3 linked regions of the Mus musculus genome follow. The protein of the gene in region 1 interacts with the protein of each later gene in a biochemical or structural test. Links are inferred from orthologs where the notes say so. Each region holds a gene or a part of one and is shown on either strand. Other genes may lie near its edges.

Evidence for each region. The genes of interacting proteins can lie anywhere in the genome.
Region 2: the proteins of Reln (region 1) and Lrp8 form a complex in vitro, tested with the Homo sapiens proteins (7 studies listed by BioGRID). The link is inferred for Mus musculus from reciprocal best matches to the Homo sapiens genes RELN and LRP8.
Region 3: the proteins of Reln (region 1) and Vldlr form a complex in vitro, tested with the Homo sapiens proteins (6 studies listed by BioGRID). The link is inferred for Mus musculus from reciprocal best matches to the Homo sapiens genes RELN and VLDLR.

The regions. Positions count from the first base shown.
Region 1 is NC_000071.6:22,037,206-22,040,705, forward strand, and holds part of Reln (reelin isoform 1 precursor), read right to left. Parts: intron 3,332-3,500; coding exon 3,098-3,331; intron 2,468-3,097; coding exon 2,306-2,467; intron 1-2,305. UniProt on the Homo sapiens protein: Extracellular matrix serine protease secreted by pioneer neurons that plays a role in layering of neurons in the cerebral cortex and cerebellum by coordinating cell positioning during neurodevelopment.
Region 2 is NC_000070.6:107,840,259-107,843,758, reverse strand, and holds part of Lrp8 (low-density lipoprotein receptor-related protein 8 isoform a precursor), read right to left. Parts: intron 544-3,500; coding exon 415-543; intron 409-414; exon of another isoform or gene 1-408. UniProt on the Homo sapiens protein: Cell surface receptor for Reelin (RELN) and apolipoprotein E (apoE)-containing ligands. LRP8 participates in transmitting the extracellular Reelin signal to intracellular signaling processes, by binding to DAB1 on its cytoplasmic tail.
Region 3 is NC_000085.6:27,237,520-27,241,019, reverse strand, and holds part of Vldlr (very low-density lipoprotein receptor isoform b precursor), read right to left. Parts: intron 2,968-3,500; coding exon 2,596-2,967; intron 2,511-2,595; coding exon 2,388-2,510; intron 2,297-2,387; coding exon 2,174-2,296; intron 1,399-2,173; coding exon 1,279-1,398; intron 1,176-1,278; coding exon 1,050-1,175; intron 555-1,049; coding exon 383-554; intron 1-382. UniProt on the Homo sapiens protein: Multifunctional cell surface receptor that binds VLDL and transports it into cells by endocytosis and therefore plays an important role in energy metabolism.

The DNA.
Region 1 (3,500 bases):
TTTTATTTGTGGGGGCGGAGTCTCTAGCTGAGCCTTGAGTTGAGCTCTGTTCATGTAGGCGGATTGACCCAGGTGATCTAAGCTTTGCCTTGCAAGCAGCTGCCCACATTGACCAACTTTTATGTGGGTTTTGGGATCCTGAACTTGGATCCACTGAGCCACTTCCCCAGGCTTCAGGGAATTTTATTTGTATTTGATAATTATATATATATGAATGAATTGGGAAACTTGAAACAAAGGAATCAAACCCAATAAATAACCAAGGCATAAAAATTGATTGAGATTTGATTTTTAAATAATTTTAAACTATAAAAACATAAGAAAAAGGCTGAAATAAATTTAAGCTCTAACAGAATTATGATATTTTACACTAATAAAAGTACCAACTAGTTCACAAGGTATTCATTCAGATTAGGCATATTATAAGATTTCAGATTTGATAAGTAAGCAGACAGTTCTTTTATTTTTGAATGAATCACAACCTATCTGAAACTGTCCTTTCGCGATAGTGGTGGCGAGCTAGAAGACCAACATATGGCCCATACTTCATTTCTGAACAACTAGGACATCAAGAGATAATATAGGATTGAAAGCAATTACAGGAAGCAACTTATACTGAAGAAAACAGATGACATGGCTAAAGGCATCAAGATATATTTAACTCTATGAAAAATTTCCATGGTTTGTATTATTTATTATGAAGAATATAATTTAGCACCTGGAATATATCAAATTCTACTTCTGCCATGTCAGCTTTTATTAATATTTGTGAGGGAGAGAAGGAGGGAGGAAGAGTCTTACAGTCAGATGTGTAAGTGCAGAAAATGAGGGTTTGGGGGCCATTAACATTCTTCTTAAAAAAAAAAATCCTCCACTCTGACCTTAATCTTTTAAAGCCAACACATTCCTAAAACTGAAAAGTTGCCTTAATTCTGCCTAGAAGAAGAATGTTACTATCAAATGGTGGGCACAGCTAAACACACCTTTGCAGTAGCACATTATATATGTCATTATCTTTCACAATAACAAAGATGAATTATATTTAATTATATAGATTGATTGCAGAATTTTGCAGCTGTCTATCTTTGTCAGGACATTGGGCATTAGGCAAAGTTCACTTAGGATAATAATATTTTCTTCATGGTTTCATCCTGTTGCTTTTTGTTTAATTTATTGATTCATACTAACTATGGAGAGTCCCTGGAGCATTTCTGTGGCCTTGTGTATCTCTGAGTGATAAAGAGAATTTAGTCTTACATGTTTACATGTACAACAGAAGTATCCACCAAAGCTGGGGCATGTTTTAGTGGGTAAAGTTTAGGTCACAATAGTGAGTGATTGGCTCTGATACACTCTACTTCATTTTATGCACAAAGTTATTATCTTACTTGCAAATGATTAAAGTAGGAGTGTCCATTACAAGACTGTAAAATATGTAGCATGAGTCCTCTTTTCTCTTACTTTTAAGCCTTGTCTGCTCCCATGGTGCCAGGGCAAATCTTGAGGGCCAACCCTCTCTACATCCCAGGAGAAAAGGGTACTTCCCAGAAGGAAGTAGCAGGAGTTTGCACATGACTGTAAGTGTGGTACAGTGCTCGTCTCTAATGGTGCTTCACTTGATACCTTAAGTGTGAGTTTGCCCTTCCTTCTCTCCCTTGGTTCTTTCTAGAGGACTTTCCTGAGAAGGCCCATGTATATTATAACAGGCAAGAGTATCTTTGAAACATTGAAACATTGGTGGGTAACATTCTGTCGTCACTGAAGGATAGTCCCATTAGGTAAATCTTACTCTGGCAGTCGTGTCTATAGCCATGAAATACACAGGCAGAGAGAAACAGAAGTGGCCAGAGGAAAGGATTTTATTTATATCTTCACATATGCCATTGCCAGGGACTCAATACATGTGAGAAAAATTTAGTTGTATTTACTATTTAATTTTACTGCATGAAAACTCAAAACATGCTGGTTATGAATTATTTAATGAATTATTATAATATTTACATGTAACTTATTATTACAAAATGTTCTATTGTTAAGAATAACAGTATAGGCTGTAGTTCTTTCCTAACTATCAAAGTATTTCCCTTAGATACATATTTCAAAATACAAGAACATATTTTTTTGAAGTATTGAAATCAGCAGGACTAATAGATTAAATAATATGACTTACCAATATTTCATTACAGTAGAAGAATATACAGAATCCTATATACTTTGGCCCTCCATGCTACTGTAAAATGGAATTATGGTTCTCTCCAGGAAGGAAGTCTTACGGAATCACTGCTGCTGCTGTGCTCTGACGTACCTGGGCTCGTGGTAGTTGACGTAGGAATAGTGCTCCAGGAGTTTCCATGTTATCCCGTTGTCATATGAATAGTGCAGCAGGACTCCCTCCCCCGGCTGGTCAGGGGCTCTGCACGTGCTCAGCACAGACTTGCTCCCCAGCCTCAGTGTAAACTGAAGAAACCTAGACACGAGTAACTCATGATTAGTGAGCACATTAATATTCTTTTTGATAGACTAAGTTTTGTTTCCAAAGAATTTCACAATCATTGAAATGAACATCTCAGAAGCTCTAGACTAACATCACTGTCTTATGAAATAGAAGTCATTGTACCGTGAGATGTATAAGTGTAGAAGGTGTGTATATATTTTATAGATACATCTGTATACTTATAACTCCTTGTATACTGTGTACTTGTATATACATACTTAAAACGCCAATCATTCTTTTACTGCATTATTTATCAGGCACTGGGGGAAGGGCTGACACAGAGTAAATCTAATCAGCCCCTGCAAGCTGTCAAATAAATAAACTACATGAATAATTAACCAGGTTTTGGCTTAAGAACACAGTTTTGATGCGCGCATCTCATATTTTAAAAATGTCAGTTGTTAGTAGCTCAAAGTCATTGGTGAGTCTTCTAGTTTATTAAAAACTAGAGAAAATTCATTATAAACAAACTCAGCATTCTTCCAGCCTACTTAGACACTAGAAGATATATCCATCTAGTAAAAGAAAAAAGACTACAAACTGAAAGTGGATCCAAACCCAATCACATGCTTGCTGTGTATGCTCTAGCCCACCGGCACTCACCTGGACTGCGAGCTGTCCAGAAAGGACGTGATTAGCTGCCGCCTCCCATCTTTGTTGAAAACCAGAGCCTTACCACTGGCTAAGACACCACAACCAAAGCTGACTTCAGCACCACGGATAGAGTAAAAGTTATGGTAAGAGGAAAGTCTGGCACTGCCAAAGCTTTCCGAAATAAACATTGGGAATGTCTGAGATGCCATCTCACAAGCTGGGCCAGAAAATCCTGGGTCACACCTGAAAGAAAGACAGAAAGGTACTGGAAATGAGTCTTGAGCTGTAGGTCCTTCAGAGCCTGCTGATCTTGATAGTCCATCCTTTGAATATTCCTGGGCTTACGTGTGTGTGTGTGTGTGTGTGTGTGTGTGTGTAGTGTGTGGTGTGAGGTTGGTGGGCAGGGGATGGG
Region 2 (3,500 bases), on another chromosome or scaffold:
ACATGCCCTATCCCCAGTGCTGCTAGTGTGCTGGCACGAGACACCACATTTCGTACAGCCCAGTTTTTGGTCCCCCTGTTCTTGTTCGGAGATCAGTGGAAACGGTAGAATTGTAGAATGGATGAGCAGATGTCAGACATGGTAGAAAGCTGTGTGTAGACCTGAATTTGAATCTCAGTTCCACCCCCTCAGCCTTGGGCATGTTTCCTCCCTTGTCTGAGCCTCAGTTTCCTCATCCATTAAATGGGGATGGTAATGGCTATTCATGAGGTGGTCATGAGGGTGAGAGAAGAGAATGTCTCCTACGTGCCCAGCCGTTTGTTTCTAATGGTAGCATTATTCTTCCCTTCCCGCCGACCCTCCCAAGAAGAGGTCATCACTCCGAGGCTGCCTGACCACTGGCCCTGGACTCACAGGTGGGACAGCCGGCCTCGTCAGCACCACCCTCACAGTCCTTCTCTCCGTCGCAGCGCCATGAGGCAGGCACACACTTGTGGCTGGTGGGTCCGCAGCTTAACTTCTCGGCAGGACACTCTTCACTGGCTGTAAAGACAGACATCCGTGCACGGCTTAGCTAAGGGTGACACAGGTCATAGCACCAACCAGTCCTGCTACTGGGCTTAAGTCCCTGGCAGTCCACTGGGGCCCTCCTGCTCCATGTCTTCATCGGAAGCCAACCTCTTCTAAAGGCTTGCTGTGTCCTAAATCCGACCTCACCCCACACCGACCGGATCTAACACTCTCTCAGAGTCTCCTAGTCTAAAGCTCACAAGTCTTTCTTGACCCAAGGGCTCCTACATGTCTTCCCTTTAAGATCCAGCACTGTGGAGTCGCCACACCCTTGATATGTTCCAGCTGTGCGCCTCTGGGTAAGTAAGATATGGCTAACTGGACCTCAGTTTACCTTCCAGATCAGCAACTGTCATCTGAACCTGTGGGTTTGGAGGGCTCACCAAAACCTTACCAGCAACAATCTAAGTCTCTGCAAAGATGGTGTTGAGCCCACCACAGAGAGCAGCCTCCACGTGCAGGACCCAGCGGGAGTACGCAGCTATAATTACTGCAGCTGCAATCAGAGGCTGACTCAAGCAGGGGCCTAGAGCCCCTGGGTTGATTCTCAATCTGAAAGAATGAGAACCCTTTCAGGACTTGGGGAAGCTCTTCCTCTGAGCTTCCCTTCCTCCACATGACAGGCGAGGCAGATGCATTTACGACCTCTGGTTGGCTCCCTGATGCCTTCCACAGTGTGCAGGAGTCCCGGCCTCAGTTAGATTGTGCCAGGCACAGTGCTAGGCGCTTCCATTTGATCTTTATAATAACCCTGCAGGGTGAGGATTATGTCTCGGCCTCCAGCGTGGGAAGTAGGGTGTGGGCTCTGGAAGCCGCTGCCTGGGCTGGAATCGGAGCTCAGTCACTCGCTGGCCACGTGACCTTAGCCTAACCACTTCTCTTTGTCTCAATAAAGTGTAGGTGACACAATGACCTGCTGTATAGGATCGTTTTAGTGACCAGATTAATATCTGTAAAATGCTTAGAAGAACACTCAGCCTACGCTTGCTACGTGTTACTATTATCCACACATAATCAATGAGACTCCGAGTCTTGTAAATCCATTCAATGAATAACATTGAGCACTGCTGGATACCAGACATGATGCTAAGTCTTGAGTTCCAGACACACACACACACATGCCACACACATGCACACACACACACACACACACACGCATACACACATGCACACGCACACAAGAATGACATGAGGGTTTGGCACATTTGTCTGATACACAGTTTTATACCCCCAGAAGAAGGGTGATTCCTGTCTCGCTCTGATCTATGATCTGTTTCCTCTCATTTGATTTCATGGCTGGAATGAAAGGCCACAAGAGAACAAAAGCGGGCCGATGCAAGAAAAGGCACAGAAAAGTGGGCAGTGAGCAGGGTGAGGGGCAGTGGGTAGGATGAGGGGCAGTGGGGAGGAGGAGGGGAAGTGGGCAGGGGGAGGTGAGTGGGCAGGGGGAGTGGGCAGGGGCGGGGAGGGGAAGTGGGCAGGGGGAGTGGGCAGGGGTAGGAGGAGTAGACAGGGTTAGGGGCAGTGGGCAGGGGGAGGGGCGGGTGTCTAAATCAAGGTCCCCAGGTGATCACACACTACTTCAGTGTGAGGAGAGTGGATCCTGAAGCTATCCCATGAACACCTGTCATGGAGTCAGCTGCAGTTCACAGTTCACTCTGCATGAGGTAACTGTCAGGTAGATCTCGAATACTCAGTGAGCTTTTAAAATGGCCACTTTTGCTGGAAGATGGTGGCACATACATTTAATTCCAGCACTCAGGAGGTGGAAATGGGCAAATCTCTGAGTTCAAGGCCAACCTGGTCTACAGAATGAGTTCCAGGACAGCCAGGGCCTACACAGAAAAACCCTGACCAATAGATAGATAGATAGATAGATAGATAGATAGATAGATAGATAGATAGATAGACAAACAAACAAACAAATAAATAAATAAAGCAAGCTGCTTTGGGCCGGGCAGTGGTGGCACACGCCTTTAATCCCAGCACTTGGAAGGCAGAGGTAGGTGGATTTCTGAGTTCAAGGCCAGCCTGATCTACAAAGTGAGTTCCAGGACAGCTAGGGCTACACAGAGAAACCCTGTCTCAAAAAACAAAAAACAAAAACAAAACAAAAAAAGCTGCTTTGGTTGTCTTGTGGGGTGATGAAGTGGGGTGGGCATTTGGGAAGGGCACGTCTGTCATCAATGTTGGAATGCCATGAGCACTTCTTGATGCCTCAGAGCATGAAGCAGCCGGAGCTGACTGCTGGCTCTCAGACGGAACTAACCGAGAGGCAGGAGCTGAGGGGGCTGTTGAAAGCTCAAGTTCCTGGCCCCAAGTCATGGTGACTGAATCGGGATGCTGAAGGTAAAGGAATTTGCATTTTTAAAAAGTTTTATATTTTCCTTCCAGTGAATGTGTGTCTGCTTTCTGTATAGGGTATGGTAGGGAGAGGGAAATGGAATCAGATCCCTGGGTGCTGGAACCAAACCCCGGGCCCTCTGGGAAAGCAGAAAGCACGTTTAACCCCTGAGCTCCAGGCCCTGGAACCTGCACCTTAGTAACTACTTTCAACCAAATCCAGATACCTCTGTGGGACAGCCTGAGTCTGCATGTGGAAAAGGCATGGCACACTTCATCTTTTGGTAATACCATGGCCCCCTAGTGAACCAGGGCTTCAAATGTTTGCAGCCCCCCACCCACCCAAGAAAGCAACGGGTGGTGGAGAAGGTGAGCCCTGGGCACTACCCACTCATAAAGCTTAGCCTCACGGGGAGTGGAAAGGGCTACGGCCACAGTTACAGGCCTGTAAGTGGGTCAGCCTGCTCAGGTTCAATGCTGTTTTCCCATTCCACCTGACCACCTGTAGGAGGCAACTAAGACACTGAGAGCAATGCCATCACCAATGGAGCTAATGCCCTCTCAGAAAAGCTGCAGATGGCTCAAAA
Region 3 (3,500 bases), on another chromosome or scaffold:
CTCAAAGCCCAGCAAAATTTGAAAAGAGATATTCAACTCAGTAGCCATCATCTTGGGTCTACGGTGTCAACTGAGGGAAAGCTGCTGCTATCATTTCTGTTTGTAGCAAGACAATTCAGTTCACAACCACAAAAGGGGAGAAATTCTGATGTCATATTCAGGCATAGGCACCTTTTACATCATGATCAATGATTATCAAGGTAACTTCTGGTGATCATTTAATAGCTAAAAATAAATCAGTGTTGAATTTAAAACTCCTAGCTAAGTAGATGGTAGATAGGAGTCACAGACAAGAGAAGACCCATGCATACTCCAATCCTTTCCACAGACCTAATGACAGTGACGTAGATTCCCAGACATCAGGGGTGCAAGTGGAAGTTACCTGAAGATGGCCTTCTGGCTGAGATCAGCCCAAAACAGCTTCTGAGCTGCAATGTCCGCATCGAGAGCCACCGTGTTCCTTAGTTGCTCTACAAGTTGGATGTATTCCTTTCTCTCTAGGCCAATCTTCCTGATGTCTCTTCGATTAGTGAAGATCAGACTCGGCTCTTTGCCTGCAAGACATAAGCCAGGTTGATTTAGTTTTGCTCGAAGGCAAGATCCTCTAAGTCATCTCCTCTCCACAGAGGACCACTTGTAAAGATACTGCTGAACATCTCAGTAGTATCCAGCCTGGATTTCCAGGCACCCCTCCCCTCCCCTAGGACCTGCAAGTATTTCCACCCTGTTTAGGAAGGCAGTCTTGGGGTTACAGCATCCGAAAGTAGGGTGGCTGATAAACAAGTTACTTGTTTGAATTGTGCTCAGTTTTAGAAGCAGAAAGGAAGAAACTACGGTGACTATTCACAGTATCCTATGCAAAAGGAAGGACCAAGGCAGATGTGTGGGAAGATGGTTTATTTTCAGCTATCCTGCTGCACTCAGAGTTTAATAGCATTGCTCTGGGGTGTGACTTTATGTGTAGGTTGACTGCTGCAGTCACCAACTGTACCTTTTAGAATCACTAACTCAAAAAGGTACCAGAGCAACACCAGCCCAAGTCTATTTACCTACTGCCTTGCACACGCCAGTGGCAAGATCCATTTGATAGCCACGACTACATTCACACTTGTAACCGCCTTTTAAGTTGATACAAATTTGACTGCAGATCCCCGGGTTTTGGCATTCATCAATATCTAGGAGGGAAATTAGAATTAGTCTTGTTCTTCCTATGCCTCACTAGATGTATGTTGCCCTTTCCCGTGTCCGCCAGGGGCCAGGCTCTTTGCTTCAACTCACCTCCACAGGTTTTCCTATCTATCAGTTCAAACCCAGCTGCACAATCACACTCATAACCTATAACTAGGTCTTTGCAGATATGGGAACAGCCACCATTATTGACCAGGCATTCGTTGATATCTGGAATAAAAGGGTAGCAGAGTCATCTGATAGCTTATTTATTTGCTTTGAATACAATGTTTTAGATTTATTCTTTGAGACTTCCACATACAGATACAATGTATTTTGATCATATCCAACATGACACTCCACCCAACTCTCTGAAGATGCTGCACAAACATCTCCCTCCCAATTTCCTAGTGGTCATTTTGTTTTCTGTTTTATAAACCCAGAGTCCAAATTAGTATGACATCTTATTCTTTTGTTTTGCTTTTGTTTGTTTGTTTGTTCGTTTTGTTTTTTGAGACAGAGTTTCTCTGTATAGCCCTGGCTGTCCTGGAACTCACTCTGTAGACCAGGCTGGCCTCGAACTCAGAAATCCGCCTGCCTCTGCCTCCCAAGTGCTGGGATTAAAGGCATGCACCACCACCGCCTGGCGACATCTTATTCTTAATTGATAGTTGTCTTATTCACATTCAGTCTCCGGCTATTGGTGATGGCCTTTCAAAGATTTTATTATGTGTTTGGGAGATATACATTTCAGGCTGGATGGTAGTTAGTTATTAAGGATTTACTCAAGTTTTGCTATGACTTTTAGCTATCTTAAGGGGTTTCTCAACCCTGAGTTAGTTTGTCATGGGCTAAAATTCCACTTTGAAATACTTTATCTTCAAGCTTAACTATTAAAAATTAGCTCATTCTGAGTTCAACAGAGAACTAAGCTGTGTCCAAAACAGCATTAGGGCTGAATGGAACCTCTCAGCTCTGGCCCCGAGCAAGCCTCCCTCTCACTTACGGCATTCCTTCAGGGGCTCGTCACTCCAGTCTCTGCAGTCTTGTTCCTGGTCACATACTTTGCTCATGTCTATGCATTCCCCGCTTCTGCACTTGAACTTTCCAGGGCCCAGGCACTGATTGACTATAAATTCAAACACAGGAGAAAAGTTCCACTGCTGTTCTGACAGGAGTAGCCAATAGCCTAACCAAACACAATGGAGAAAGAACCTCACCGTTTTTGCAGTTGACTTCATCAGAGCCATCAACACAGTCTCGGATGCCATTGCATTGCCTGCTGCCGTGGATACAGCTACCATCTTCACATTCAAACTGGTCAGGTCGGCAGGTTCGAGAAGCTACGAAAGAAGGTAACAATGATGGAATGAAGTCAGCCAAATGGCTTCCGGTTGGCGCATGGAATTGAACTGGAAAGTTACTTACGGCAGTTGACCTCATCGCTGCCGTCCTTGCAGTCAGGGTCTCCGTCACACCGCCATTTTTTGTGAATGCACTCGCCAGAGCCACACTGGATCTCACTGGTAGGACATTTGGTATGTATCACAGGCTGACGGCCACACTGCTCAAGAGACTCGTCTGATTGGTCTGAACAGTCTGCGTCATCATCACACACCCAGCTGAGGGGAATGCAGGAAGAGGTGCTGCACTGGAACTCGTGGGCTCCGCAGGTTGGTGGAGCACAGTCCAGCTCATCACTGCCATCGTCACAGTCATCCTGGCCATTGCACACAAAGTTTCTGGAGACGCAGCGGCCACTGGAGCAAGTGAACTCATCTGCACTACATGTTATGTTGCCTGTTAGAGGGAGGATGCCCATTGAAAGTACATCAGCACTTATAAAAAAACAAACATACAAACAAAAAGACAACATACAAGCCTCTCATCACCAAATCAAATATATTCATCTTCGATGAGTAACTTTAGCTTTCTAATTGTAAAGCTACAGTGCTGTTATATTGAGAACGAGTTTCTGAAATATGACAAAACAGTTTCACAGTATAAAATAAGATGCAGCCATACTATGTGTAAGAGCAGAAATAAAGGACCAAGAAAACAGTAGAAGGCTCGAAACTAATTCGAGATGAGACCCACAACTGACACTTAAAGGGACAGTGTTCAAAAGCTTAAGCTGGCCTTGGGTATTTCATTTTGGAAGGCAGCGTTTATACCTAGACCAACCTATTGCATGTCAGCTGAAGTCATATCACTAGCTGAGAATATACATCAGCTATATGGGCAAGGTATAATGGAAAATAAGGCACTCTCCAAAAAGAAACAAACCAAAGAACACTCTACATGGTTCCTTCCTTTTGAGTCTTTTAAATAAA